Linked DNA regions of Cricetulus griseus. The protein of the gene in region 4 interacts with the protein of the main gene of each other region in a pairwise test. Links are inferred from orthologs where the notes say so. Each region holds a gene or a part of one and is shown on either strand. Other genes may lie near its edges. The genes, in order: Numb, Ube2k, Prpf31, Siah1, Upp2, Inha and Ctsk.

What was found.
Region 1: the proteins of Siah1 (region 4) and Numb interact in a two-hybrid assay, tested with the Homo sapiens proteins (2 studies listed by BioGRID and IntAct). The link is inferred for Cricetulus griseus from reciprocal best matches to the Homo sapiens genes SIAH1 and NUMB.
Region 2: the proteins of Siah1 (region 4) and Ube2k interact in binary tests that used the Homo sapiens proteins (3 or more experiments, as listed by UniProt). The link is inferred for Cricetulus griseus from reciprocal best matches to the Homo sapiens genes SIAH1 and UBE2K.
Region 3: the proteins of Siah1 (region 4) and Prpf31 interact in binary tests that used the Homo sapiens proteins (3 or more experiments, as listed by UniProt). The two-hybrid records come from large-scale screens. The link is inferred for Cricetulus griseus from reciprocal best matches to the Homo sapiens genes SIAH1 and PRPF31.
Region 5: the proteins of Siah1 (region 4) and Upp2 interact in binary tests that used the Homo sapiens proteins (3 or more experiments, as listed by UniProt). The two-hybrid records come from large-scale screens. The link is inferred for Cricetulus griseus from reciprocal best matches to the Homo sapiens genes SIAH1 and UPP2.
Region 6: the proteins of Siah1 (region 4) and Inha interact in binary tests that used the Homo sapiens proteins (3 or more experiments, as listed by UniProt). The two-hybrid records come from large-scale screens. The link is inferred for Cricetulus griseus from reciprocal best matches to the Homo sapiens genes SIAH1 and INHA.
Region 7: the proteins of Siah1 (region 4) and Ctsk interact in a two-hybrid assay, tested with the Homo sapiens proteins (2 studies listed by BioGRID). The link is inferred for Cricetulus griseus from reciprocal best matches to the Homo sapiens genes SIAH1 and CTSK.

What each region holds. Positions count from the first base shown.
Region 1 is NC_048598.1:119,939,788-119,943,287, forward strand, and holds part of Numb (protein numb homolog), read left to right. Parts: intron 1-2,395; coding exon 2,396-2,536; intron 2,537-3,500. UniProt on the Homo sapiens protein: Regulates clathrin-mediated receptor endocytosis. Plays a role in the process of neurogenesis.
Region 2 is NW_023276807.1:132,581,975-132,586,123, reverse strand, and holds the start of Ube2k (ubiquitin-conjugating enzyme E2 K), read right to left. Parts: upstream 2,801-4,149; 5' UTR 2,599-2,800; coding exon 2,536-2,598; intron 1-2,535. UniProt on the Homo sapiens protein: Accepts ubiquitin from the E1 complex and catalyzes its covalent attachment to other proteins. In vitro, in the presence or in the absence of BRCA1-BARD1 E3 ubiquitin-protein ligase complex, catalyzes the synthesis of 'Lys-48'-linked polyubiquitin chains.
Region 3 is NC_048602.1:21,556,712-21,559,541, reverse strand, and holds the end of Prpf31 (U4/U6 small nuclear ribonucleoprotein Prp31), read right to left. Parts: coding exon 2,787-2,830; intron 2,684-2,786; coding exon 2,611-2,683; intron 2,077-2,610; coding exon 1,948-2,076; intron 1,863-1,947; coding exon 1,764-1,862; intron 927-1,763; coding exon 801-926; 3' UTR 501-800; downstream 1-500. UniProt on the Homo sapiens protein: Involved in pre-mRNA splicing as component of the spliceosome. Required for the assembly of the U4/U5/U6 tri-snRNP complex, one of the building blocks of the spliceosome.
Region 4 is NC_048596.1:162,343,992-162,348,082, forward strand, and holds the start of Siah1 (E3 ubiquitin-protein ligase SIAH1), read right to left. Parts: upstream 2,801-4,091; 5' UTR 1,593-2,800; coding exon 1,394-1,592; intron 1-1,393. UniProt on the Homo sapiens protein: E3 ubiquitin-protein ligase that mediates ubiquitination and subsequent proteasomal degradation of target proteins.
Region 5 is NC_048599.1:116,114,140-116,118,386, forward strand, and holds the start of Upp2 (uridine phosphorylase 2), read right to left. Parts: upstream 2,801-4,247; 5' UTR 2,798-2,800; coding exon 2,736-2,797; intron 1-2,735. UniProt on the Homo sapiens protein: Catalyzes the reversible phosphorylytic cleavage of uridine to uracil and ribose-1-phosphate which can then be utilized as carbon and energy sources or in the rescue of pyrimidine bases for nucleotide synthesis.
Region 6 is NC_048595.1:428,647,794-428,651,733, reverse strand, and holds the start of Inha (inhibin alpha chain), read right to left. Parts: upstream 2,801-3,940; 5' UTR 2,551-2,800; coding exon 2,500-2,550; intron 1,988-2,499; coding exon 1,765-1,987; intron 229-1,764; coding exon 1-228. Other genes in the region: obscurin-like protein 1, read left to right, coding at 3,064-3,940. UniProt on the Homo sapiens protein: Inhibins and activins inhibit and activate, respectively, the secretion of follitropin by the pituitary gland.
Region 7 is NW_023276806.1:61,002,486-61,006,535, forward strand, and holds the start of Ctsk (cathepsin K), read right to left. Parts: upstream 2,801-4,050; 5' UTR 2,752-2,800; coding exon 2,464-2,751; intron 2,049-2,463; coding exon 1,926-2,048; intron 1,845-1,925; coding exon 1,689-1,844; intron 627-1,688; coding exon 408-626; intron 1-407. UniProt on the Homo sapiens protein: Thiol protease involved in osteoclastic bone resorption and may participate partially in the disorder of bone remodeling. Displays potent endoprotease activity against fibrinogen at acid pH. May play an important role in extracellular matrix degradation.

The DNA.
Region 1 (3,500 bases), on a different chromosome or scaffold from region 4:
TTGTTCCACTTAATGTAGCATATTTCATGTACCAAGCATTAATGTTTAATGCTAAGATATGAGTTCTATTTTTGTTCCATGTTTAATTTTTTTCAGATCCATGAATATATAAAGTGATGTATCTTTTGCTGTAATTTTTTAGATGACAGGCCACATCTTAAATTTACCCTTGTTAAAACGTATGTTAGAAAGTGATAAATGAATCAGCCAACTCAAAGCTCAAAGTTGAAGTAAATTTTAAGCGTTAGAGGTAAGAATTTATTTAGGATTCAAGCAATATTCTGGGTATCATTTTGTATTTAATAGAAAGTGACCCTAAATGCTTAAGATATGTAAGATCACTTAATCATTACTAACTTTTCTTGAGACCTAAAGTCAGGAAACTTTTTTAACCAGGACTTAATTTAGAAGTGGATAAGGTTGGGCAGACAAAGAACAGGTTTGATGAGCAATTTATCTGATTTTTTTTTGTTTGTTTTGCTTTTCAAGGCAGGGTTTCTCTGTGTATCAGCCCTGACTGTCTTAGAGCTCTCTCTAGACCAGACTGGCCTCAAACTCACAGAGATCCCCCTGCCTCTGCCTCCTGAGTGCTGGGATTAAAGGGGTGCACCACCAAACCCAGCTATGTATGATAATTTTTAAGCACATTTCAGACTTTTGACTTTTTTTTAAAGATTTATTTATTATGTGTACAGTGTTTTATATGCATGAAGTCCAGAAGAGGGCACCAGCTGTCATTACAGATGGTTGTGAGCCACCATGTGTTTGCTGGGAATTGAATTCATGTTCTCTGGGAAAAACAGCCAGTACTCCTAACCTCTGAGCCATCTCTCCAGCTAACACCACCCCTTTTTGTTTTGTTTTGTGTTTTTTGTTTTGATTTTTTGAGACAAGGTTTCCCTGGAACTTGCTTTGTAGACCAAGCTGGCCTCAAACTCACAGAGCTCCTCCTGCCTCTGCCTCCCTAATGTTGAGATTAAAGCCATGCGCCACCACCTCCCAGCTGACTTTGTTTTTTGTTTGTTCAGAATATTAATTGGCTTAAATTTTGATGTTTTTAAAAACAACAATGACTTAAGTATCTTTTAAAACTTGTATCATTTTAATTCATGTTTTGGATGACATTTATTTTGAAAAGGGATCTTGCTGTCTTTGATCTAACAATCTCTGCCTCAGCCTCCCAAGTGCTGGGATTGCAGTTTGTGCTGCCATACCAGGCAAATTTGTCATGCTTGTGACCGTGTCTTTGTTTTTCGCTCTTGTTGGAAATTAATACTGCCCCTTGGTGGCTACTTGTAGCAGCTCATTTATGAATTTTGTTCTTTTCTACATTGATTGATGATAGCTGCTGGTGGTTGAGTGGGTCGGTAGAGACGGGTCTCTCTATATAGCCCTAGAGAGCCCATAGCCTAGTCTTGTCTGGAATTCACTATGCACCAACCCAGTTTGGCCTTGAATTTGCATCATTTCTCTTGCCCTAGCCTCCTAAGTGCTGGGATTATAGGCATGAGCCATACTGTTTGTACTGTTAGCTAGTGGCTTGTCACCATTGGGTCCATTTCCCACCTTTATATTTTACCTATTGTCAGGGACTAAATACAGTGTTGGAATTAGTGCTTGTGACAAGGCCATTCCATGACCTGCACAAATTAATATAGATACCGAAGTCTGAGCTTCAGGTCCATAACCTTTCTTTGAGCAAGAAACTATGTTGTGGTGATGCACAAATCTCTAGCATACAAAGAAACAGAAAATATACTTCATTCTCACAGAGAAAGCAAAGACCCAACTCCAAAATAACTTAGGTGTTGGAAGCAGCAGACAAAACTTGTAAAGCAGGCATTACAACTCTACTAAGGGATGTAAAAGAAAAAAATGCTACTATCAAATAAGCAACTAGAAAGTCTCAGAAATTATGAAAAAGCAGCAAAATCCTAGGGCTGGAAGAGAAAATTGTACTTCTCAAAATTACAGTACTTGAAGTGAAAAGAAATCCAGTTGGTTGTAAAAAGGGAAAGTATAGAATACTAGGTATCAGTCTCATTTGCATACCAAAGGTACTGGGAACTCACTTTCCTATGTTTTTGCTATATTTGCAAATAAACCAGTAACATTGATTTATGTATGCATACTGTCAAATTGAACGTGCCAGTTACTGTGAAAGAGCTTCAAGCTAGGACCAACTGACACATATGCACTTTAGAATATGAAGTGATGCTTCCTAGTCAAAATCTGTTCCAACTATGGGATACAGCTACTGGATACAGCTATTCATAGCTCAGTTGAAACCTACGTAGGGGACTCTGCACTGCAGAATGAACATCCAGTGATGCTTCTGAGAAGACCACACAACTAACTCATAAGCCTTCTCTTGCCCTGTGCTTCCATTTCCTAGGACCTCATAGTTGACCAGACAATAGAGAAAGTTTCTTTCTGTGCCCCAGATAGGAATTTTGACAGAGCCTTTTCTTACATATGTCGGGATGGCACCACTCGGCGCTGGATCTGTCACTGCTTCATGGCTGTCAAGGACACGGTAAGTCCAACATGGTATATGCCATTATGAGGAGTCTACCTGAGCTGCTTTCAGCCAATGTCAGCCAGGCAGTTCCACTATACTTTTAGTAAGTACTCGATGCTAAGGCTGATCATAAAAGTACCTTCTTTGTAAGATCTTATTCCTTTTATTCAAGTAATTCTCACTCTTGGTCTGAGCCTGTGAGAGGGAAGTCACAAAGCCAAGCAGTTGGCTAAGATCTAGAGTCATTAAAGGGAAGCAGAGACACCTGGTGAGCTCATTGGCTGATACCATGATTCATTCCCCAGCACCACAAAGAAAGGAGGAAAGCAAAGAATGGGGGTGAAAGAGGACAATATGTTGCCATAGTTACTAAACTTTAGTTGGAGCTTTTCATCAGTAAAGTGCTTGCAGTTTGTTTGTTTGTTCTTAGAATCTAGTTTGGGGCTGAAGAAATGGCTCAGTGGTTAAGAGCACTGACTGCTCTTCCAGAGGACCCAGATTCAATTCCCAGCACTCACATGGCTCATAACCATCTAAGCTTCAGTCCAGGTGATCTGATGTCCTCTTCTGGTCTTTTTGGATACCAGGCATGGACTGCAGTTTACAGACATACATGCAGACAAACTACCCATAAACATTAAAAAATATATATATAGGGTTTGTGTCTGGACAACATTACACACCTTTAACTTTAACCCAAGCACTTGAGAGGCAGAGGGAGGTGGATCTCTGAATTCAAGGCCAGTGTCAGCCTACAGAGCAAGTTTCAGGACATCCAGGGCTACACAGAGAAACCCTGTCTCAAAAAAAAACAACAACAACAACAACAACAAAAAAAAACGAAGGCATATTAAAAAAGAAAGCCATAAGTTGGTTTATGGTTTCAGAGGGTTAGAGCCCCAGATGGCAGAGCAGCAGAACAGCTGAGAGCCCATATCTTTATCCACAGCAAACAGCTACAAATAGCATTGTAAATGGC
Region 2 (4,149 bases), on a different chromosome or scaffold from region 4:
TGGTCAAAAATAAGTCATTAGATCCACCAAAATTCTTAAACACCAGCATATGAATTAAACCTGGTACACTGGAGATTTACTGAGGTGACATGCTGAAATAATTACTTGATCAGCTATTGGAAAAATTACATTTATATACTTAAATAAAATATATAGATTACACTATGGGTCCTTCATTAAGGTGAAAATTAACCAACAGCCTATCTATGGAACTGAACATACTAAAACATTGATGAAACAAAATACTGAGAATAGAACTAACTGTAGTGCTTTTTATATTACTAAATGGTTTTTTTTGTTGGTTTTTTTTTTTTTTTTTTTGAGACAGGTTTCTCTAACAACCATGGCTATCTGGAACACTGTAGACCAGGGTGGCCTCTAACTCACAAAGATCAGCCTGCCTCTACCTCTCAGTGCTGGGATTAATGGCTTGTGCTACCATGACCAGTTTACAATATTAAATTTTATCTGATCTTTTCCAAGTATCCTTTGCAGTTTACTTTCCTGGTTCCTAAGTTCCTACAAGGTTTATAAAGGCACTGTTCCTGAATAACTTGTGTTTGCAATCCCTGTTTTCCTAAGAGATAATGACAATTTTTTTAATCTCATTCTTGAGAATGAACTTTTATTTGCATGTGTGGGTATAGAGGTCAAAGGATAACCTTCTACCTTGTTGGTCCTCCGGACCGAACTCAGGTCATCAGGGTTGGCAGCAAGCCTCCTTTACCCAAGGAGTCATCTCCTCAATCCATCACTTAAATAGAAAGTCACATCACATAAAGCAGAGGATATATGGATTTTCAGGCCAGTAACCTGACACTTTTAAATAAAAGAAAGCATTACAAGTCTAAAGACTTGTACAACCTTATTGTAGAAAAAACGTTTTAGGCTGCTGACAACAAAATCAGTTCTCATCTTTCATTAAGAATATATGTCTACAATCCCAAAGTACATTTGCTTATTAAAGAAAAAGTTAAAATCACTGTTAAAATGTATGTGAATACAGACATTCACACTTTCTGCACTGTTCCACAAAAATACAAAGTCATCCTTCCATTCAGAGTTTTGGCAAATGAATACAGAGGTCAGAGTTCATGCTATGTAAGACAGATCACTACTTATTTCTTAGTCTGTTCACTAAGCCTGCAAATATAGTCACTTCAATTTTAAGTAAATTTCTACCAAAGATGGATAATTATCTGCAGACTCAGTGGCACAAATAATGCTGGAGTGCTAAAGGATTTGTAACAATTCCTCATATACTTAAAATATCTAATTTTAAAGATCGTTATTGGCATTATCAAAATACCAAGCACATAAGAACATATAGCACTGCTTATTGGACAGTGGAATGTGAACCTTGAGAAAGATAATTACTTTCAGAATTTTCTTGCTAACTTCAATCACAGAAAATCTGGGATTTTTGTTCATTCAGATCTGAAAAATTGTACTATTGTTTGCAAAGCTGAGTCAGATTGTTAAAATTCAATATTTCACATAAGTATGACCAGCATTAACGTATTTAAATTTTGAAGGACTCACGGGTAGTCTTATTTTTTAGTATGCTATTACGTGACATATTTTGTATCAGAACAAACCTAACTCAATAATGAGCTACAACAATGCGAATCTGATGAAATCTCTTGTTTTTAATATGCCTCTTTTCAAAAGTAAGACTTAAGTTACCTACAAGGGACATCATAATGAAGTTTCACAGTACACTAGTCACAGAGGCATTGCCCTAGGAGAGACTCTGATATTGGTAAACAGTATTTTGAAATAAGCTACTCATCCTTTTTTCCTAGTTCAAATCATTTAATAACAAACTTCTTGCCTTTCATCAGACAAACAACTAAATGTCAATGATGAGGCCTAGTGACTGGTGGAGTGCGTGGAAACGAGATGATTATCTAATTTGGAATTCATTTCCTATATGTAATGAAAACTGCTTCAACACCCCTTCCAAATACGAGACTGACCATTATGTCTCCATGTGTCCCCCAACACTACTACAAGGGAGTAACTGAATGTCTTCCTTTCGTTCATACCTAAGGACTCTGTAGGCTCCTTCCTCAAAGAAAAGACAGCAAAGGACTGGCAAGCAATACCCAGAGTACCCCGAAAAGTGTGGGCCTGTGAGGTGCGCTGCTGCCGGGGATCTAGTTACTATCTTTCCCCTTCCCCCAACCCACTTCCCGGGTTTTCTCGGCCTGCTCCTTCCCCACCCCAGAGCCACACAGACAGATGTTGCCTCCGCCTCGGGGCTCTCCCCAGAGCTCACGTGTCCCCGACAAGTGCTTCTGCATCTGTCCCCCAAACCCCGTTCCTCCCCAGGCCGGCCGGCCGCCCGCGAGACCGTCTATCCCAGGGCCCGGGGAGGGGAGGGAAAGGCGGCAGGAGGAGGAGGGGAGAGCGCCGCTTCCCCATCGGCTGAGAGGCGGCCGCAGCGAGGCCAGCCGGGACCGCCGGGGTCGCGGAAGGGAGGGCCCTCCCGCCCCGGGCTGAGATGGGGGTGTCCGGTAGATCATTTCTGACCTCCTCGCTCTTCAGCACCTCCTTGAACTCCCGCTTGATTCGCTGCACCGCGATGTTGGCCATGTCTCTGCCCGCAGCTGATTCGTACCCGCCTCCTCCGCCACCGCTACGACCACCGCCACCGCCGCCACCTCTTCCTCCACCGCCTCCTCCCTCAGTGATTCGGACCCGAGCACACGAACGCTGCCACTGCCACCCTTGCCGCCGCGTTCCCCCTCAGTGTAGAATCACCTCCGCGCCCGGCCACCAAAATGGCGCCGGGTCCGCGCATGCGCACCACGCTGACCCGGGCGGGCGGCGCAGCCGCTCCTGTGGCAGCCCCATACGTCTCAGCAGCGAGCCCGCGCCGCGCCGTGCCGCGCGTCTCAGCCGGGGCTTCGGCCGCGTGGCTCCGCCCTGCCGGCGTCTGGGGCGAGGAGGGTGCGGCTTCCGCGCCGGTCAGCGGGGTCTGGGCCTGGCCGGTCCTCCCCTGGCCCTCCGCCCCTTATCCCGGGAGGCTCGGAGCCGAGGTGGGAGCCCCACCTGGCGGGTTCCCCAGGCCCCACCCGGCCTGAGCCCCGCTCTAACTCTGCCAGACCCAGAGCCCACGGGCTTGAGGTGCCTCCCTGTGTCCAACCGAGGAAAAAGCTATGCAGGAACTCGGTCCTGCCCAGCGTCCGTTGGTAAACCCCCCCGGGAAATCCACTGCCGTAGCTTTTGTTCTGGAACCATGATAACGCAGCTATTATTCGGTCATCTCAGGTATTACACATTGAAGTTGTGTAATGGTTGGATCCCACGGGTTGTGCTTGCTACAGGTATTGCCAGGGAGAGGCCTGTGGTTGGTTTAAAAGCCAGAAGTTAATCTTTGGCCTGTTTAGATAATGAATGTTGAGCTGTAGAACTAACATTGTTTTAAAACTTGAGGTGCTTCAAAATCCCTGGAGAGCTTAAGATTGCTAGGCCCTATCCCTACAGTGTGGATGGGCCTAAGAATTTGCATTCTTAGCAAGATACCTGGCTGCCTATTTTTCAGCGACTACGCTGTGAGAACGGCTGAATTAAGCATATGAAAATCTGTTATGATTATAGTGAAAGTTGGAGAAATAGACACTCCTTAGGAGGATGAAGGAGCTCTAGACCTACATAGGTGTTTGGCACTGGTAGATTTAAATAAGCCGTGAGTATAATTGAATGGAGAAGATGATAAAGGAGTAAAATGTTTTAGGTCAACAATAATGTTGGAAGGCGATTTGAAAGTGGTCAGTAGAGTTTAAAGCAAATACTATAGTTTGGGTACTGAGAGGTACTTTGAAATAGTGGAAGTTTTATTTTAGGAGTATGTTTCGTGTATTTCGTCACTTAATCAATCACTTGAATATTCTAAGACTAATAGGAGCTTCGTGTGGTGGTCCACACTTGTAATCCCAGATTTCAGGAGTCTGAAGCGGAAGGGTCATGGCAGTGCTGCAAGAGCCGAGAGGACTTTTTATTCCCCATTCTGTCCCATGCCACCTCCATTGTCAGCTACGATTCCCTCATCTGTGAAATAAGGAGGTGCTTAGACTTCTACGAGTCCAAAATTCTGAAGCATCTCAATGTTTCCCTGAGTAGACATCAATTATAAAAACTCTT
Region 3 (2,830 bases), on a different chromosome or scaffold from region 4:
AGCTCAAGCTAGGAAAAACAGAGCCCAGCAGTGACTCTTGCTAACCTGCAGAATCACAGATTCCTAACACACCAAAGATGGTTTCTGTTGCTTACCTGGCTGGCATTTGTGCCTCCCAGGGCAGGGTACTTAGGCATGGCCCCCTCAGTCAACATGGATTAAAACCACTGGCTCCCCAATCAGCCCGGTGCTGGGTGCATTCTGCACACACTCCCCAGGTCTCCTAGGTGCCTCACCGTGCAGATGTGGATCTTGGACCAAGGAGGCATCTAGCCTGAGGGTCAACAATAATCCTATGACCTTTGTTGGGCCCTGGAGCTTTGTGGTGGCCATACTGTTTGGCCGTGATGCTGAGGTTCTCAGGGGGTGGGTGGTGATGTCAGAAATGGACGGGGCTTTTCTCTTCTTAGATTCCAGGACAGGAGCAGAAGAGATACCTGGACTGGAAACCCCATAGCTCTGACTCCTCTGGGTCTTTCACAAATAATCACACCCTCTGGTCAGAGCCTGACACTGTGCATTTAATTGTACTCTTTCTAGAAAACCACTTCCTTTACCCATGTAAGTAAAAAAGACGAGTGTGAGGAAGACCTCCGCCCATTTAACTGGGGCAGCAGCAGTCTGGGTTCTGGGGAGACGGGCCGAGGCTCTTCACCCCGTTTCTTGGATGCTCTGGCCTTGGGCCAAGGACAGAGCAGGGCAGGCTGCCTCCACCACAACTTCCTTGCCGGAGGTCGGTCACTTCAAAGCTCCAGTTGTCCATGTCCTTCCAGTGGGTGGCCACCCGGGGCCTGGCCCCTTCAGGTGGACATAGTGCCGCTTTTCTCACCCTTGACCTTGAGGAACTCAGCCATGCTAGAGAAATACTTCTGGTTGGCCTCTGCCACCTTCTTCTCAGCTGCTTGTGGGTTCACAATCTCCAGACCCTGGGTTGGGAAGGGAGGGGGGCAGGTAAGGTGGGGAGGCCCAGGCCTCCCTGCTGTATGGGAACCAGACATGTCACATTCCCCGAACATTCTAGCGGACACGGAACTGTTGACAGCCCCTGGAGTCTCCCTCAGCTCGGGAGATTCTGACCCAGTGGGTCTAGGGGCAGGGCCTGGGTATCAGCATTGTTAACGTCCTCAGGTGATGCTAAAAAAAACACCACTCCTGTCTGTCTGATTCTGGATGAGGAAACTGAGTCTTACAGGGACATGACCAGCCAGAGTTTCGGGCGACTCTCACGCCATACAGTGATGACAATGCCGGCACTCGCCTTTCACCCCTGCTGCTGCTTTCTGGCACCCATGGCCTAATACAGTATATACTTGACTCGTTCATCTGTCCTCCAACCCATGACCCCCCCAAAAGGCACAGCTTGTCTCTTTATCACTATACCTGAAGCCGGGAAGAAAGATGGCACAGATTCAGAGTATGCATTCTAGCAGGCTTGTCACATTACCGGACACATTTGCCTACCTCTGTGGTGAGTAACCCGAGGCCACTCTGCTTCATACTGTCCAGGGCCACTGGGCTGTGACACTGGGACCCACCTTGAGGCTACCCTGACGACTGGGGCTATCTCAAAGTGAGGACAGGAAGCTCAGAGTATCTGGGCCACACGGACAGAGTCCAGTGCCAAAGTTGGTCTGAGCTTGTGACAGCTCTCACTGCCAGCCATCTGCACTGAGTTGTGGCTCCGGATGCCTAAGCTCTTCATGTGTTAGGTCAACAGGGCTGCTACAACCCCACTACATGCCTGGTAGGAGAGGGTGTGGTACCTGGAGTGGAGTGAAGGCCACACTGGAGGCAGTCCCTGAGGAGCGGTCTCGGATGGTAGACTTCCCGCCGTATACCACACTCTGTTTCTGTAAGGTCCGCTGCAGGGAGAGGGGGAGGCCATGACGCAGGCTCACAGACCTCCGTGCCCTCCTTGCCGCCCACTCCCATGGGCCCTGGCCATACCTGCAGTGTTTTGGAGATCCTGGCCTTGGTGGCCTCATTCACCTGTGTCTGCCGCACACGCCCACTGCCTGACTTGCCCAAGTGGCCCAGGCTAAAGCCCAAATCTTCTTGATAGGCATCTTCCTCAATCTAGAGAGGGGAGTGACCACTGTTAAGAAGCTGGCCACATTCGGCCAGTCCCCCAGGCCTGTCCACTGGGACCCAGGGAGTCTCCAATCAGCAGGTCTCACGGATGCCTGAAGGACTCACTGCACTAAATGACCTTGTAAGAGCCCAGCCTAGCTCTGCTTGGATGTAGCAGGGAACCCTAGGAAGAACTGCTTCCTGACCTAAACAGAGAGTGGCCACTGCTCCCTAAGCTCTGGTTAAGTTGCCAAGAACTGGGATGGGCTGCGCTACTGAGATGGCGCCTAAGTGGATTCTCTCGGGACCTCCTGGATGATGGTTAGACACGGTGGCATGGGGAGCTGGGTGGGAGGGCAGCGGGCTCAGAACTGCAAAGATCTCCATGGGGTAGGGTGTTTTGAGAGGAGAGGCTAGGCAGGAGGGATGCGGCTGGGGTAGCCCCAGATCTGCTCTAGGGTTGCAGGGTGGAGGGGAGGGATGGCAGCAGGACATGCAGAGAACCCTCAAGGTCCCACTGCTACTGTGAGCAAGCCTGACCTCTCCAAAGCTCATGCGGTTGGCCTGCTTCCGGATCTCTGTCAGCCCCAGCCGCTCCTTCATCTTGCGGTACCTGGGGAAGGTGAGAGTCAACAGGACATAGGAAGTCGGCTGGGAAGGTGCCAGCCTCCCTCCCACCCCGCTTCCCAGCTTCTAGCGCCACCAGAGCCCCTTACCTGCGGCCCCCTCGCTTCTTCCGCTGCCCATCAAGGGGAGCAGG
Region 4 (4,091 bases):
CCATTCTGCAGCACAAATCTCATGTAACATGCAAAGGGAAGGGAAAGTCAGGAAACAATAGGAGGAAGTAAGGGTAAAAGCATCACACAGACACAAACACAGGATGGGGAGAGGGGCAGACTCAATAAGCAAAGAACTCCCCTGCACCCTTGGGTTCCCTGTGTGGCTGCAGCAAACACCAACTATACACACTGATTTCAGAGTCATCTGGAGGAAGGACCAGCCAGTGACAGTCAAGCACAATAAGCTCCTTTCCCCAGGACTCTGCCTCTGGGGAATTTGGCAGGGTGCAATTTATCTCAGACGTTGACAAAAGATCAATGTCCTAATAGTGCACTCCCTGAGACCACACTAAATAATATAGTAATTCTCCCAGTTATAATCACTCTGTTGCAAAGACCTTTAAGTTTCAAAAAAACTGAAGTTACAAATGTAACCAAGTCAATACAAATGGAATTTTAGTAGACAGTAACATTGTAAATAAGGGGGCTAAGAGCAGCACTGGAGGTTTAATTTTTTTTCTTTTGTTACTAAAGCAATACTAGCAAGTTCAAAGGGCAAAACAGTACTAACAAATGTTTAGCTTGCCTATATCCCTTGGTTTCATCTCCAACACATACAGTATGACAAAACTCCACCACAACAGCTCAGACTCATGGAGGAATACAACATGAATTAGCTCTCATCATCTGAAGCCCTGTGATCCAGGTGTCATAATAAAATGGCCCCTCTGTATTCTACTTTCCACCTGATCAAATTCTTTATGCAGCTGATTTATCCACTTTAGGTCAATGGCCTTGGCATTACCAAAGCCATGGGTTTCCCATCTGCTTCACCATGTTAACTGTGGCTCACTTAAAAGAACACAGATTTTGGAAAGTGATTTCTCGAAACAAACAGTTCCGGTCACATCAAAGAGCTCAGTTTATATTTAAACACAATATAGCCAAGTTCAGAAGAAAAACACTAGCCCAGTGCTTTGACCTGGCAAAACACCTCTAACACTTATCAGTGTAAGTTTGGGTTCATGTTACATCGTATTTTTATTGCCTTCCAAACACTAGAGAAAGCACACTGATATTCTACCCAGCATGATAAACAAAATGTGGTTGGAAGTATGACAGCACAGATAACTGCTACACCATTCCCTAGTTAGAAGGATGGAGTGTGGCTCCATCTTGAGCCACAAAGCCTCTCATCCACAAGCAGCTGCAAGGTAGAAACCAAGGACAAGTCCACAGAAGTCTGGACACACCTGAAAAGCTAGATTTAAGCAGGAGTTGCCACAGCTCCACTGAGCCCTCAATGCCGACTTTCACCAAGCCTAAACCAGAATCTATGGATTCGTGCAGTCCAGTTTCTGTCTCGGAAACAGATGTGTTTACGTCAGTACCTTTCCTCTTCCTGGTCCTGGTCCTAACTGTCGGCAAGCATGCGAGCAGGACTCCCTTCCAGGAATGCAGAAGGGGTTCGGGCGGCTTCCAGGTCATAAGAATCGAGGCGTCAGGTTCCTGCAAGCCACAAGGCCAGCCTGCACCAGAGGACCCTGCAAGGCCCTTGGCTCCTAAGCATAGAAGGCTGCTCACTTCCATTCAGTCTTAAGACCTGTCCCCAGGAGAGACAACACCTCCCATGAACTCTAAACTGGGTGGTCAGCAGAAGATGGCCAGCAGCTCTGGCGTCCTGCTGCTTAGGCTCCACCACCTGGCAGGCCCTGGGGCAGGGCCTCGAGAAGGGGCGGACCTCGCTCCAAGCCCCGCCCCACAGACCACCTGGACAGCTCTGGCAGACGCCACGGCAACATGAAGCCTGTGCACTTGGCAGCACTTAAGTCCCGTAGAACATGTTTCCGGAGGTCAGGATCTCAGTGCTTTCCTAAGTCTCTAGGGTAAGAAACACACAGGGAGGAAGGGAAATGCGCAACCAGGCAAGCACTCCTAATGTCAGCTTTGTCCTGTGAATTCTCAAGAAAAACATTCCCCCCCACAACTCACTCAATATTTCCAGGCCTCAACTACTATTTTCCTCAATTCTAACTCTGCCGCTTGTGTGCCAATCTATTTCAAATGCCCCCTTCCAGTGCAGTGAGAATGTAAACACACTCAGGGCATGTAAACCTCCACTTCTACCTCCAAATTGAGGTTATATATTCATCCCACTCTGGGAAAGTTTTCTTAACTGGCCTCATTAAACTAGAGTAGCTTGCCTTGTTTTTAAACAAGCACTACCCTTGGCCCATAAAGTCCTATACACTTCAGACCTGGATGGTGTCAGCTGAATCTTCAAAGCTTAAGCTGGTATTACATCACACTTAGGACAATCTTCAAATACAACCAGAAACTGGCAGTGAGTGCCCCAATACAATGGGTTTCACACACCTTCTGCAACTTCAACTCCAACCACTTGCCCACCTTTATTGTATTCAATCACTTCCACCTAACTGTTTAATACTAGACTACAACAAACAGCTTTAAGAACAGAAATATAAACTACACATTCTAAATTGCACATCAAGCCTATTTTGGCATTAAGTTTAAATAGCTATTATCTAAAAGGAAATAAATAGTATTAATGCCTTTAATTTTGTCACAACATTTTTAGGGCATTTAGCCACATTTTGTTGTTGTTCTTTTGGGAGAATTTTTGTTTGTGGAGGCAGGACTCACTCAATCATCCTAGACTACCACTGATTTCTAAGAGTCTGAAAATGACTTTGAACTTCTGATAATCCAGCTTTCACCAACTTCCAGTGAGTACTGGGACTGCTCACCACCACACCTAGTTTTGTGTGGTGCCACACCTTTGGAAAAACTAAGCAAGCACTCCACCAACTGAGCTATGTCCCCAGCTCATATACATTTGTTAATGTGCATGGGTGTTTTGCCTGCATGTGTATATATACACCACCTGCATGCATGATGCCAGCAGAGGCCAGTAGAGGGCATAGGATATCCTGGAACTGGAGTTTGGACAGTTATGAGCCATTATTTAGGTACTGAAAAACATCCAAAAGAGTAGCAAGTGCTCTTATCTGTTGAGCCATCTCTCTAAGTCTTGCACTCTTTATTTAAAGAAAATAAAAAGGTAGAATACCAAGACTGCTCACCCCTTAATTTCCCTAAAATTCTTAGAAATTACATGTTTATTATAAAGTTACAATGCTAAGGGTTATAGATGAGTGATGTGAGGTCTAAACCCCGAAGACACGTAGTTAACTGAGGTGCTTATTTAACATACAAATTGGACTTGGCTGCCAGGTTTTCCCTGCATCCCTCAGTCCCTACCTGTTACAGGGTATGGCTGGCACACCCCACCTCCTACCCTACATTTCTCCAGCCCAGGGGCTGAGCTGCCCTTCCCTATATAATCCAGCCTTTTTGGTTACATGCACACCCTCACTGTCTATCCTGTACTCTCCTGGCTCTCCTCCCCCCCTTTCCTCTCTCCTAACATGACCTGGCTCAGGGTCATGTTCACTCTGGACTCTCCTAGATATCCCTGCCTCTGGCTATGCTCTCCCTTTTATCTATAATAAACCTCCCCTCCACCATACCTAGGAGCAGTCATATCCTTCCTTTTTAATTTCATTTTTTTTTCATTCATCCGGTACCCACAGCCGGGAATGGCATAGATGAGCTCCCTTCCAAGTACCTGGGCTGCTCTGAATCAAGCTGCTGATTTGCCTCTCCTAAGGTTTGTAGAGATCACTTGTTTCCAATAACTCCTGTCATCTATCAAATTTGACCCCAAATTCTAGAGTCCGCTGTCTCACTACTTCTCCCCCAACGCCCACATGCTCTAACCACGCCTGTCCTTGTCTATGCCATGAATGTATCTCTGACTCCTAGGGCCTTCTCCATCTCCCAAGGAACCCAGCCACCTGGACACTGGCCTCACATCGCAGCTCCACCGGCTACATCTGTCTGGATCTCTACCAAGGACACTTACCGTCTCCCTTTTCCCCTGCTCGCCCATCTCTCTTTACTGGGTAAGTGTCACCTCAAGCTGCCTCCTTTGTCTACTATTACTACAAAAGCCACACCAGGGTGACAGGAAGCTCCTCTCGCCCTATTTAGGCCCCAGTCACATGG
Region 5 (4,247 bases), on a different chromosome or scaffold from region 4:
AGGAAAGGATAGGCAGGGCTTTGGGCAGAAAGAATAAATAGAAAGAGAAAATTTGGAAGAAAAAGATCAATGAGCAAGAAAAGAAGGGGCCAGCCACACAGCCAGACACAGAATAAGAAGAAAAGAAAAGATATACAGAAATAGAGAAGACAAAAGCCCAGAGGCAAAAGATAGAAGGGATAATTTAAGTTAAGAAAAGCTGGCTAGAAACAAACAAAGATAAGGCTGGGAATTTATAAGTAAGAATAAGCCTCTTAGTCTGTGATTTGTTCATTTGAACTGGGTGGTGGACACCACCCCAAAAGAACAAAGAGCCAAACAAGTAAAGAGTAAAAAACAGCCAACAACAATTCTCAAAAGATTCAGATGGCTGACAAGTATATTTAAATTTATCAATATTCCTAATTATTAGGGAAATGAAAATTCAAAACAATTCAGCATGTCTTCACACCCATTAGAATTACTATCAAAGCCCACTAATAACAGATGTTGACAAGGAATAGAGGCAAGGAATAGAAACTTTGTATTCTATTGGTGGACACATAAACTAATATGGCTAGTCTGGGAAAATATTTTGGGGCGACAAAAAACTGAAATAGAAGTATCACATAATACGGAATTTTCACTTTTGTTATTTATGCAAAAGAACTGAGATTGGTGTGTCAGAGTGATCTCTGTACTCCCATGTTTATTATAGCACTATTTCCAATAGTGACATATATAGTTACTTAAATATTTATATATGTTATGAATATATTATAAATGTATTTATATGCTTATAAATATATTCAAGATGGAGTACTATTCAAACTTTTTTACAATTATTTATTTGTGGGTATGAGTGTGAATGTGCACACACAACAGAGTGTGTATGTAGGAAACCCAAGGACAACTTGTGGGAGTCGTTTCTATCTTTCCATGATGTGGGACCTAGGTACCCAACTCAGGCCATCAGGCTTGGTGTCAAGTGTTTATTTGCCCACTGAGCCATCTCACTGACCTCTCAGCTTTTATACAGAAGAACATCCTGTCATTTGTGACCTGGCTAGAACTGGAAGCATGTTAAGCTTAGCACCAGCCCAGAAAGACAAACACTTAGCAGCCTCTCTCTATGTGGGCTCTAAAACTGTTAATCTCACTAAAACAGAGGGAAGAGTGGTGGATATCAAAGGCTGGAGGCTAGGGAGGTATGGAAAGAGATGCTAAAAGGGAACACAGACACAGTGACATTGAAAGAAGCAGCTTAGTGATCTATACGTCTTGCCTGGTAACCACAGGGAATACATATATATTCTTACTACCAAACAATGGGAAATGGGTGAGGTGATGGATATATTGGCTAGATCAATAGAATTTTCTACAACACATGCATAGGTCAAACCTCTCTCTGGGCTGAGGATATAGAACAGTGACAAAGTACTTATCTAGTAGGCATAAGGTCTTGGTCAGTCCCTAACACTGCAAGCCAACTGAACAAACAAACAAAGGCCCATCAACACATTGTACCCATAAATATGTCAATTATCACTTTCAACTAAAAACAAATAAATGAATGTCTTTAAAAGCATTGAGGAAAGGCTTGCCTGAGACTTCACGCCAAATTCAAATCCATATGAAGCTGGCTCTTCCAATGCTTTGTTCTTTCTAAAATCTGTAGCTAACACCAAATAGACTCCCACGTACTGTTTCCTCCTCAAAACTTTTTTTAAAGCCTAACTTCACTCTTTTTCCTAACTCATGCTCTAAATATTGGTCACCAAATAAAAGTGCTAACTGGGAGGCTTTCCCTTGGCTTCCTTGGCTTCCATGAAGGAATGAAAGTGGCAAGAGAGGTCTGTTTGAGCTTGCGAATGGAGTGCTGTCTGTACGCTTACATCACGACATTTCCCACAATTCTCGGCAAGTCAGAGGGAACTTACAAAAATTCCTTAAGTGTCATGAAGACTAATGCTCTATTATGTTCTGTTAACCTGAGGCAGAAATTAGAGTTTAATTTTCAGGCAGCTTTGGCAGATTTATGCCTACCTATGTGATGAATAACATCCATGGTATTTCAGAAGTCGATTCTATGTCAAGTCTGTCTATCACAAAGCATATGAAATTATCCCATGACACACTCAACACAGTTTAAATGCCATAGGCACTACCAGGCCCTTTTATTATTTCTCATGTGTAGCCTTTGGTCCTGGAATTAAATTCTGAATTCAGGGCACAGTGAATTCCAAGCTGTACTTTGAATTTGTCTGTTCCTGTGGGTTGGTTAAACTTCTTACGGTTTTTGTATGTTCTTTTGACCTACTTTCTTTTCTATATGTTATTATTATGTGTATTATTTATTATTTTTTATAAAATTATGTGGCAGTGGACATGCTAGGAGGCACATGTGGAGGTCAGAGGACAACTCTGTGGAGTCGTTTCTCTTCTTCCACTGTTACATGGGTTCTGGGGGTGAACTCAGGTAGCCAGGCTTGCTCAACAGACACCTTTATCCACTAAGCCATCCCACCAGTCTCTACTCTATGTTCTCACATGAGCCAACTTGCCAACTCCACAGGTATCAAAGAAGAAAAATTTACAGTGCTTTTATGTCGATTTGTATTATGGACAGTATTCCAATTATTTAATGTCCAGTGTGAAAAGAAGTATAAAACTCTGAGGGTATGTCTATGAGCACTTAAAATAAAATACGAGGCACACTCACCTGGCTGAAACAAGAAAAGATCAAAATTACTCACCCCTCATATGTATTCTTGTCTGGTCTCATGCGTCTATTAGAAGCAGGTAAAATGGAAGCCATTCTCTGCAGTGCAAGATATCGGGGAAAAGCACTATTAGGGCCTGCTGTTAAATTACAGATCCAATAACAGCCACACAGCTCCAAGTTAGACTAGCACCGTCCCTTCAAACTTAGGTTTCCTTCTGAAGTTTTCTTCTAAAATTTTCTCTGTGCATTTTAAGCCACTTTATCAATTTCGAAACACCATCCCAGGATGGCCTTTTATATGACAGCCAAGCTCTCAGAGCATCATTCCCCCAAGAAGATAGGTTCCTTTGGAAGGTGTGGCATCCTTTCTCTTTGACCAGGTTGGTTAGCTTATCAGATTTGATCACTGAACCTTTCCATGGCATCTGACTTCGGTCCCAACGTAGGGCTGGCTTGACACACCGACTTATTTGCTTTGAAAACAACTGAATATGAACACAAGCCTGCTTTTGGCTTCCATGCCAACCTCATCAAAAATGTGTCCAGTACACGTGAGAACTTTCAGTTCTCAAATACTCCATTTTCCAATTCTTTCTCACTACTTGCCAATTGGTTTTTTGTTCTGTGTGATTACTAGTTAGGAAAACATCCAAAGTCAGGACCTAAGAAATCCTCCTAGTTGGAACTTTGCCCTCTCAGTTCATACAAAAGGTCCGATGGTTAAACAAAGCTGCTTTCCTAGGGCCTCTTCATTTAACTGAATACTAAGTTGATTCTACTGTCCACTAAAACATGTCTCTGGGTGTCAATGCAGGTAGAATAAAGAATTATAGCTTAGCATTTTCAGAAAAGAGAGTGTTTTTTTAAGTAATTTATTAATTGGTAGCCTGCTGTGATTGTGAAGACCTATAATCCCAGCACTTAGGAGTCAGGATAGGATAATTGCTGGAAGCCTGAGGGCAGTCTGATCTACAGAGTTCCACAACATATACAGGCATAAAGCAATCCCTGTTATAGAAAGAAAGAAGAAGGGATGAAGAGAAGGAAAAAGAAGGGTGAGAGGGAAGGAAAAAGAGAAGGAAGAAATAGGAGAAATATGAATTCACTGTTTGCTGGTGCATTTCATTCAGGAGTAAGGAAATCTACTTCATCATGGCCCTTTCTCTCATGGTTCCTATGGGATTCTGTATGGAGCACCAGTTCAAGAACCTCAGTGCCATGGGTTTTTAAGCAAATCAGAACTTAAAATATTTGCAAATGTCAAATAGAAGATATATGGCATTTCCTGATGTGTGTGGATTTCTCTTTAAGAATGTACATAATAGACAAGAAGCAAGTACCCTGGATCTTAACTTCTGCTGAAGACCATTTTTTTTTAAAACACTCAAATTTCTTCTTGTTTTTTCTTTTTTGACTTCTTTTGGTTCATAGTAGACAGTCAGCAAAGTTTTCAGAATGGGAAGGCAAACACATGTTGGGGAACAACCAAGGTAACCGAGCCCTGGTGTGGCCACTGCCCACCAGGCACTTGTAATTTTACGCA
Region 6 (3,940 bases), on a different chromosome or scaffold from region 4:
GCACAGCCATGGGCCCCCCAGATGACAGCACCAGCAGGTCTAGCAGGGTCCCAGAACTATTGGAGGCCTCGGTGTTCTTCCTGTCTAGCCCTGTGTGGAACCACAACTGGGCTGAAGTCACCTGGTGCCTGCGCATGTGTTGGGATGGCCGGAACACGTAAGTGAAGAGACCTTCTCCAGCCTCCTGGGCAAGCCCTCCAGCAGCTGGCTGGTCCTCACAGGTGGCACCTACACGGGCAGAAGAGAGACGGCAACCTTGATCTGTAGGGTTGGAAACATCTCCATCTCCATGAGAAGAATGTCGAGGACATCCCTCAGTGCTGATTAGGTGTCAAACACTGTTAAATTCCACCTAGACCCGTACACTCTCTGGAGTCTTGGGAAAAGTAACAGAGGCTCCCCAGTTTTCCATTCACCATCAAAACAAGACATTGGCAATATCTCTCCTAAACGGCTTTACTAATTAATGTAAACAGCAATGTGTAAGAGCCCATTTCACTCTGTGCTTTCCCCCTCAGGGACACTGGTTAGTGTTCATCAGATTAACATAGTGATTATCTTGGCTGTGGCGTGTATGGATGTGTACATAACTCGTATCTCACCACGTATATCAGAAACTTTATATGACAAATTCCCTAAAATAATGGTATTTTTAAAGGCAGTTTACAGGGTAGGGAGACAGCTCATTTCCTAAGAGGCTTGTTGCTTGACTGTTTGGACCTGAGTTCAATCCCCAGCATCCACAGAGAAAGCTATCTGCATTCCGTGTAATCCCTCACAGCACTAAGGAGGTAGAGACAACAGTGAAAGACTGTCTCAAAACCTAAGGTGGGAAGTGACTGAGGAAGACGTTTACTGCCAACCTCTGACCTTCACACACACACATACATATGCATAATCAAAGGAAAAGAACAACAAAAGAAAGTGGACGCGACGTGGGGAAGGGAAAGAGAAAGAATGGAACGAAAAGGAGAATAGAATAGAGGTCCATTCCTCCCAGGGAAGGGCAGCTGGCATTCCTGCCCCAAAATACACAGAGACTACAGTAAGTATTATGGACCAACTGTTGTCAGAAGACTGGCAATCGGGGCCCCACTAGTACACAGCCTCTCTCATTATAAACATTCTAACAACTGATCCAATTTCTAGAAAAGACACTGAGGCCAGAGATATGAAATGGCTGACAGTTAGCTATTAAGTGGCCAGGCTGGGATTCCACTTGATCTGAAATCCATACTTTCTCCTACTATGCTGCCAGGGGCCGAAGGGAGGGAAGTGAGGGGACCTCCCTAAAAGAGCTGTGGGCCAGATGAGAAGGGGGCCCAGTGGGAGGAGGGCTTTACTCTTCCAGTCATCGGGATATGAGAAACACACAGGGATGAGAAAGAGACTCCTGGGGACATAGCCAAGCATTCTGTTGCATCCCTGAGACCATCTCAAGTCCCAACTACCTAGAGCAATGAAATGGTGTACGCGTGGGTGTCGGTGTGTGTGTAAAGACAAAAGACAGGAACCTGAGCCGTAGAACGTTAGCTTCCCTTTGATATTCCAGTTGTGCCAGGCCCACTGGATGGTTCCAGCCTGAGTAGTAGAGGCTACCACCTATTTGGTGATGACCAGAGAGGCTTAGGAACTGTCCCATTGCTGCAAAGCCAGCTGAGTGCTGGGGCTGCCATTCACACCCAGATCTGCCTGGCTCCCAATCCCTTGAGATAGGTACCAGCTACTTTCCAAAGTTGACCTGCCAGTCCCCAACTTCATTACCTGTGGCTGGGAAGAGGATGACCTGGGAGACATCCTCCTCCTCTGGTTCAGAGGTCCTGTGCATGGAGCCTCCAAGGGCGTGTCTTCGAGGCAGCCGCCTTATTTCAGGACTCCCACCTTCCCCAGCCATTACTGGGGGCCCCAAGGCATCTAGGATAAGAGCCTTCACCTTGGCTAGGACAAGCTCCCGCACCAGTTCTGGCCCCTGGCAGCCGTCCCCATCCTGTAGGGTCAACAGCAAAAGAAGCAGCAGAGACGGCTGGATCACCATAGTTCACTTGGCCCTGACAACAGGGAACCCACACCCTGCCCTGTGCCCCTTCTGTCCAAGACCTTCCCACTCTCCCCTCCCCATCCTACTGCCTGCCTTCTTCTACCCTTCTCACCCCAGTCTCCCCCAGTCCTTCCCACGCCCTACAGTCCCAATTGCCCCTGCCCATGGCATTGAGACCTCCTATCTCTGACGCAGATGTCTGTGGCCCTGAGCCTTATCTCCCACTCCCGCCAAGAATGTGGGGGAAGGGGCTGTGGAGGGTGTTCACCCCAAGTGACCTGACCCATTCATGCGAGCATACAACCCAACACACACACACACACACACACACACACACACACACACACACACACACACACACACGAGAGTCGACGTCAGGTACAACAGGTGCTTGGGTGTTAAGGCTGGCCAGTCATGAGTTCCTGAAAGTGTCATTTGTCAGGAAGACAGAATGTACCAACCCCCTCAGACTTTCTGGGGCTCCTTTCAACTACAGCAGCTGCTAGGGCCATCGTGGGAGAGAAGACCTGGGTCTGGGGCTCTGGGCCGAGGGCAGGTGGTCCCGCCTGCTCTATACTTAGCCTGGAGGAGCCAGTCTGGGCTCTTGTCCTCCAGCTGTGTCATCAGAGAATATTTTTGGGATTGGCAGCTGCAGGCGCCCTGCCACTCAGGCCCAAGCCTGGCCGGCAGTTAGGGACCTGGCGGCAGGAGGTGGGAGGGAGGAGGGGAAAGAGGCCCAGGCTGTGGGAGGGGGCTGGGAAGCGAGGCTCCCGGGAGCAGGAAGCCAGGCCGCCGGCAGACTAGGCTGCAGGGCCCCTGGCTGCACAAGCAAACAGGAAGGACTGCCCCCTGAGCTCTGGCCTCCGGGCCCGGAATCGCCGCGCAGCAGGGCTGCAGATCGGGTCGAGGGGAAGGAGGCGAGCGGACACCGGAGGGCACCGGAGTCCCCGCGCCTACTCCGCCACGCTCCTGTCTCGGCTCCCGGCCTTCCCGCCCACCCAGACGTGCCATTTGCAGCGGCCGCGATGAAGGCTGGCTCGGGGGATCAGGGGAGCCCCCCGTGTTTTTTGCGCTTCCCGCGGCCCGTGCGGGTGGTAAGTGGCGCCGAGGTCGAACTTAAATGCGTGGTCCTGGGGGAGCCGCCGCCCACTGTCTTGTGGGAGAAAGGCGGACAGCAGCTGGTGGCCTCGGAGCGCCTGAGCTTCCCGGAAGACGGCGCCGAGCACAGCCTGCTGCTGAGCGGAGCGCTGCCCACCGACGCCGGGGTCTACGTGTGCCGCGCCCGCAACACGGCCGGAGAGGCCTACGCGGCGGCCGCCGTCACCGTGCTGGAGCTCCCCGCTCCAGAGCCCGAACCCCAATCCTCCGAGCAATCGCTGCCGCCGCCGGGCACCGGGGAGAGCGCCCCGGTGTTCCTAACGGGGCCCCAGTCTCAGTGGGTGTTGCGCGGGGCGGAGGTGGTGCTGACGTGCCAGGTGGGAGGCCTCCCGGAGCCCAAGCTGTACTGGGAGAAGGATGGGATGGCCTTGGACGAAGTGTGGGACAGCAGCCACTTCGCGCTGGAGCCGAGCCCCAGCGAGGATGGCAGGGGTGCGAGCCTGACGCTGCGCATCAAGGCTGTGCGGCTGCCCGATTCCGGGGTGTACGTGTGCCACGCCCGCAACGCGCACGGCCACGCGCAGGCCGGCGCGCTGCTCCAGGTGCACCAGCCCCACGAAAGCCCGCCCCAGGACCCGGATGATCCCCCCGTGCCCGTGGTGGAGCCTCTCAAGTGCGCACCCAAGACCTTCTGGGTGAACGAGGGCAAGCATGCCAAGTTCCGCTGCTACGTGATGGGCAAGCCGGAGCCCGAGATCGAATGGCACTGGGAGGGCCGCCCTCTGCTCCCTGACCGCCGCCACC
Region 7 (4,050 bases), on a different chromosome or scaffold from region 4:
GCTCAAGGCAAGACAAGTTCAGGGTCATCCTCAGCTACTTAGTAAGTTCAAGGCCAACATGGACTATATGAGATCTTGTCTCAAAAAAAAGGGGACCAAGCTAGGCTAGCTTGGGATACATAGTAAGATACTGTCTAAAAATTAAAGGGAAAGAAAGAGAAGGGGAAGGAGGAACAGGAAGAAAGAAAAGAGAGAGATGGGGAAGGAAGGAAGGAAGGAAGGAAGGAAGGAAGGAAGGAAGGAAGGAAGGAAGAAAGGAAGGAAGAAGGGAGGGAGGAGGGAGGGAGGGAGGGAGGGAGGGAGGGAGGGAGGGAGGGAGGGAGGGAAGCAGATACAACAACAGGAAACAAAGTTATGCTGGGGGAAGAGCCCGCACAGCCTCCACACTGTGGTGGGTGTCATCTCACCTGACCCACATATGGATAAGCATCTTCAGAGTCAATGCCCCCATTCGTCTGCACATACCGGAAGGCAGTGGTCATATAGCCGCCTCCACAGCCGTAATTCTCAGACACACAATCCACAAGATTCTGAGGACTGAGATTTAAGAGTTTGCCTGTCTTCTTCTTGAGTTGGCCCTCCAGGGCACCTGCAGAGCTAAAAGCCCAACAGGAACCACACTCACCCTGAGAGACATACAGAAAAACTGTCAGTCATGGATTTTCACATGGGTGCATCTTTCTACCAGCCTAAAAATGTTCACACATTTTGTGAATTCAACACAAATGCTGGTTTTGTTGTGAACCTTATTGTCGTTCCCCATGATAACAACTGTAATAACTGTTTCCTTTAACTGGAGTCAAGTACAGTACTTTGTGGCTTTGGAGACAGTTCTCCTGAAGTCTAACCCTGGTTTTGCACACTAGTTTTGTGACCTTGATTTGTTACTGAACTTCTCTGTGTCCCAGTTTCCTTACCTTTAAAAATGAGAATAAGTTGGGCTTAGTTGGACATACCTGTAATTCCATCACTTGAGAGGCAGAGGCAAGAAGATCAGGAGTTCAAGGTGAATCTCAGCCATATACTGAGATGCAGGCCAGCCTGAGCAATGTGAGAACAGAAAAGGGAGTGTATTATAGTTAATGTATTGACTCCTGTGAGCAGTGAGAGACTTCACTGACATGTAAATCACAGAAACTCCTTGTGCACAGAGATCTCTCAGGAATCGTCAGCTATTATTAGTGTCTACTCTCCTCGACTGCACAATTGTCTTTTTCCCAGATTTTCTGTTTTTTAAGAATAAGAAGTTCTTGAGGAGGAAGTCTTGACTCTTTACCAGGTAGCTAGCACCCTACTTGCTTGGTTCTAGGAGAAGGGTGGTATTTGTAGAATGAATGTTATATCAATAATTCATCTTACTGACGACACAGCCCTGTGCTGTTAAGATCCTAGGAAAACTGAGATTCTCTTGCAGATAAGAATCTAATATTGTAAAAACCTTTGGGGGGAGAATTCTCTATGTCCTAGTAACTACAATTTTAGAATTTACTTTGCACAAATATTTCTACATGAGCACAAAAATATATGCATCAGATGCTTGTTGTAATACTGTAAGTTTTTAAAAGCAGAAAAAAACCCTATATATACAAAATAGGTAATGATTAAATAATAGAATATGATGTATTCTTGTAGCATAAGATATACCTCAGTTCAGGCCAGACTACCTACACACACACAAGCAAGCACACCTGATTTTTGACTGGAGTAACATATCCTTTCTTTCGATAGTCGATGGCATCTGGGGCTCTGCCTTCCCACTCTGGGATGTAGAGAGTGTCATTACTGTGGGAGTGAGAAGGTGGTAATTTGAGTCCTGTCATCTTCTGAACCACTTCTTCACTGGTCTGAGACAAAGCAGAAGGCCAAGCATTAGCAGGGACCATGGTAAAAACAGTGGGTGGGCCTGGATCCCAGAGGCAACTCACCATGTCTCCCAAGTGATTCATGGCCAGTTCATACGTATGGACACCAAGAGAGGCCTCAAGGTTATGGATAGAAATATGCTTCAGGTTTTTTTCCCAAATTAAACGCCGAGAGATTTCATCCACCTAAATATAACAGTCAATAAATTCATTGACTGTGTGTCGTTATATAGGTAGGTTTTAGGAGAAAAATGTACCATAACCAAAAAGAGTTTGCAATCTAGCTGGGGAACTTAAAGGTCCACACACAAAAACAAAAAACATATGCAAAGTTCTAGAGATACCATAGCATAATAGTATTATAATGAGACATACACACGGCACAGACACATCTTTGGTGCTGGGTACTGGACTCAGTGATGTTCCTGAGCCATCCCTCCAGCGGGCCTGCCGCACAAAAGTAAAGCCAGCTGGAGAGTTAGGCAATAGGGACTGCTTGCTTGGGGCAAAGCACTGTACTCTGATTGAAGGGAATCTAAAACTAAAGCAGAGGCCTCAAGCCCCAGCCCTCCTCCCTGCTTCCCTTGCAGGCCCCAGGCACCTTGCTGTTATACTGCTTCCTATGGGTCTTCTTCCATAGCTCCCACTGGGTATCCAGCATCTCCTCAGGGTACAGAGCGAAGCTCAACATGGGTAGCAGCAGAAACTTGAACACCCACATCCTGTGAGAGGAATAATTAGGGGAGACTTCCATCGACAGGAGGTTCAGTCTAAGCCAGCCTGTGGGTGTGGAAATGATGGCAGACACATTACCAGGAAGGCATTTGTACTGGCCTGCCTTTGGGGTTCTGACAGTATATGCCTCAGAGGCTGCCACTAAGAGCACCATCTGTGCCTGTTCACTATGTTCCCCTTTAAAAGGGCCCTGCTCACCTATCCCACCCGCCTGGCTGTTCCTCCCTCCCCTCCCCTCTTTTCCCCTCCTCTCTCGCCCACTGCTCCTGTCCATGGAGGCTGATTCCCCCTCACCCCCTTCCCTTTTTACAATCATTTTCCCTTAATAAAGAAACCATTCTGATTGAACTCTGTCACATGGTGTCATTCTCTCTGGAGCAGCTTTTTTAAAGTCACAACAAAGGTGCCTTTTAACTTTTTAGGAGCTATAAAAATGAGTTCTGTCTACCAGAAAATTACACATACATGCATTAATCCTAAGGGATTCATAAACCCAAAAGAACTACACACACACACACACACACACACACACACACACACACACACACACAGGAACGTGATTTTAGAGATATGGTTTTGCTTTGTAAGTCTCTTAGAGATATGGTTTTGCTTTGTAAGTCTCTAAGTCTTGTCTAGCCTTGAGCTCACTATGTTGACCAAGATGGCTTTGAATTCAAAGGTCTGTCCCCTCTTCCACCCTGCACTAGGATTAAAGGCATGAGTTAGTATGCCTAGCTTAAGAATCCCTTCTTTTGAACTATAAGGCTGGCAATGTTGGCTGTATGTGGAAAACAGACAAAGAATTGCAGGCGATTTTCATGATAAAGCAATAATGGGCAGAAGTGGGGGTGGGGTGCTGGGACATCTGATTTCAATTATTCCAACTCAAAGATGTTCCATCAAAACTGCATACATGGCAGACAACCAGAGCCGGTGACTGGGAAAGGCTGGGCACTGCTCTTCTCCAATACCCCCAGTGAGGACAGAATAAGCACAGTGTGAACGTGGTTAGAGACAGTTCCATCTACAGTGTGCTTCCTGCTTTGTTCATGGCATCCTTCCTCCTTTGCCAGATCTTGCCAGGAAAGAACAGGGCTAATTTGCAGTTTTTATCTAAGATATGTTCACTGTGTCATTTGCCCTATCCATTTTCTCCTTTCCTCAATCCTCTCCCTCTTTAGGCAGGAAATGGTTCTAATCTTAACCAGATGCCATGGGTTTTTTTTCTTTTTTTTTCAGAGACGTGGCTGCTTCACAGGACAAAAGCCGCAGATGTGTAAGAAGAAAATGCAAGACAGAAGGACAATATTCTATAATGACCAAGTCCACAATTCACAACTTTTCAGGAATTTGCTCTGGCTTCATTAATTTCTTGCAGTGACTTAATTGCAAATTCTTAAGTTTAAAAACCACTTCCTGTCTCCAGCACATCATATGACTTGTGCAACACTGA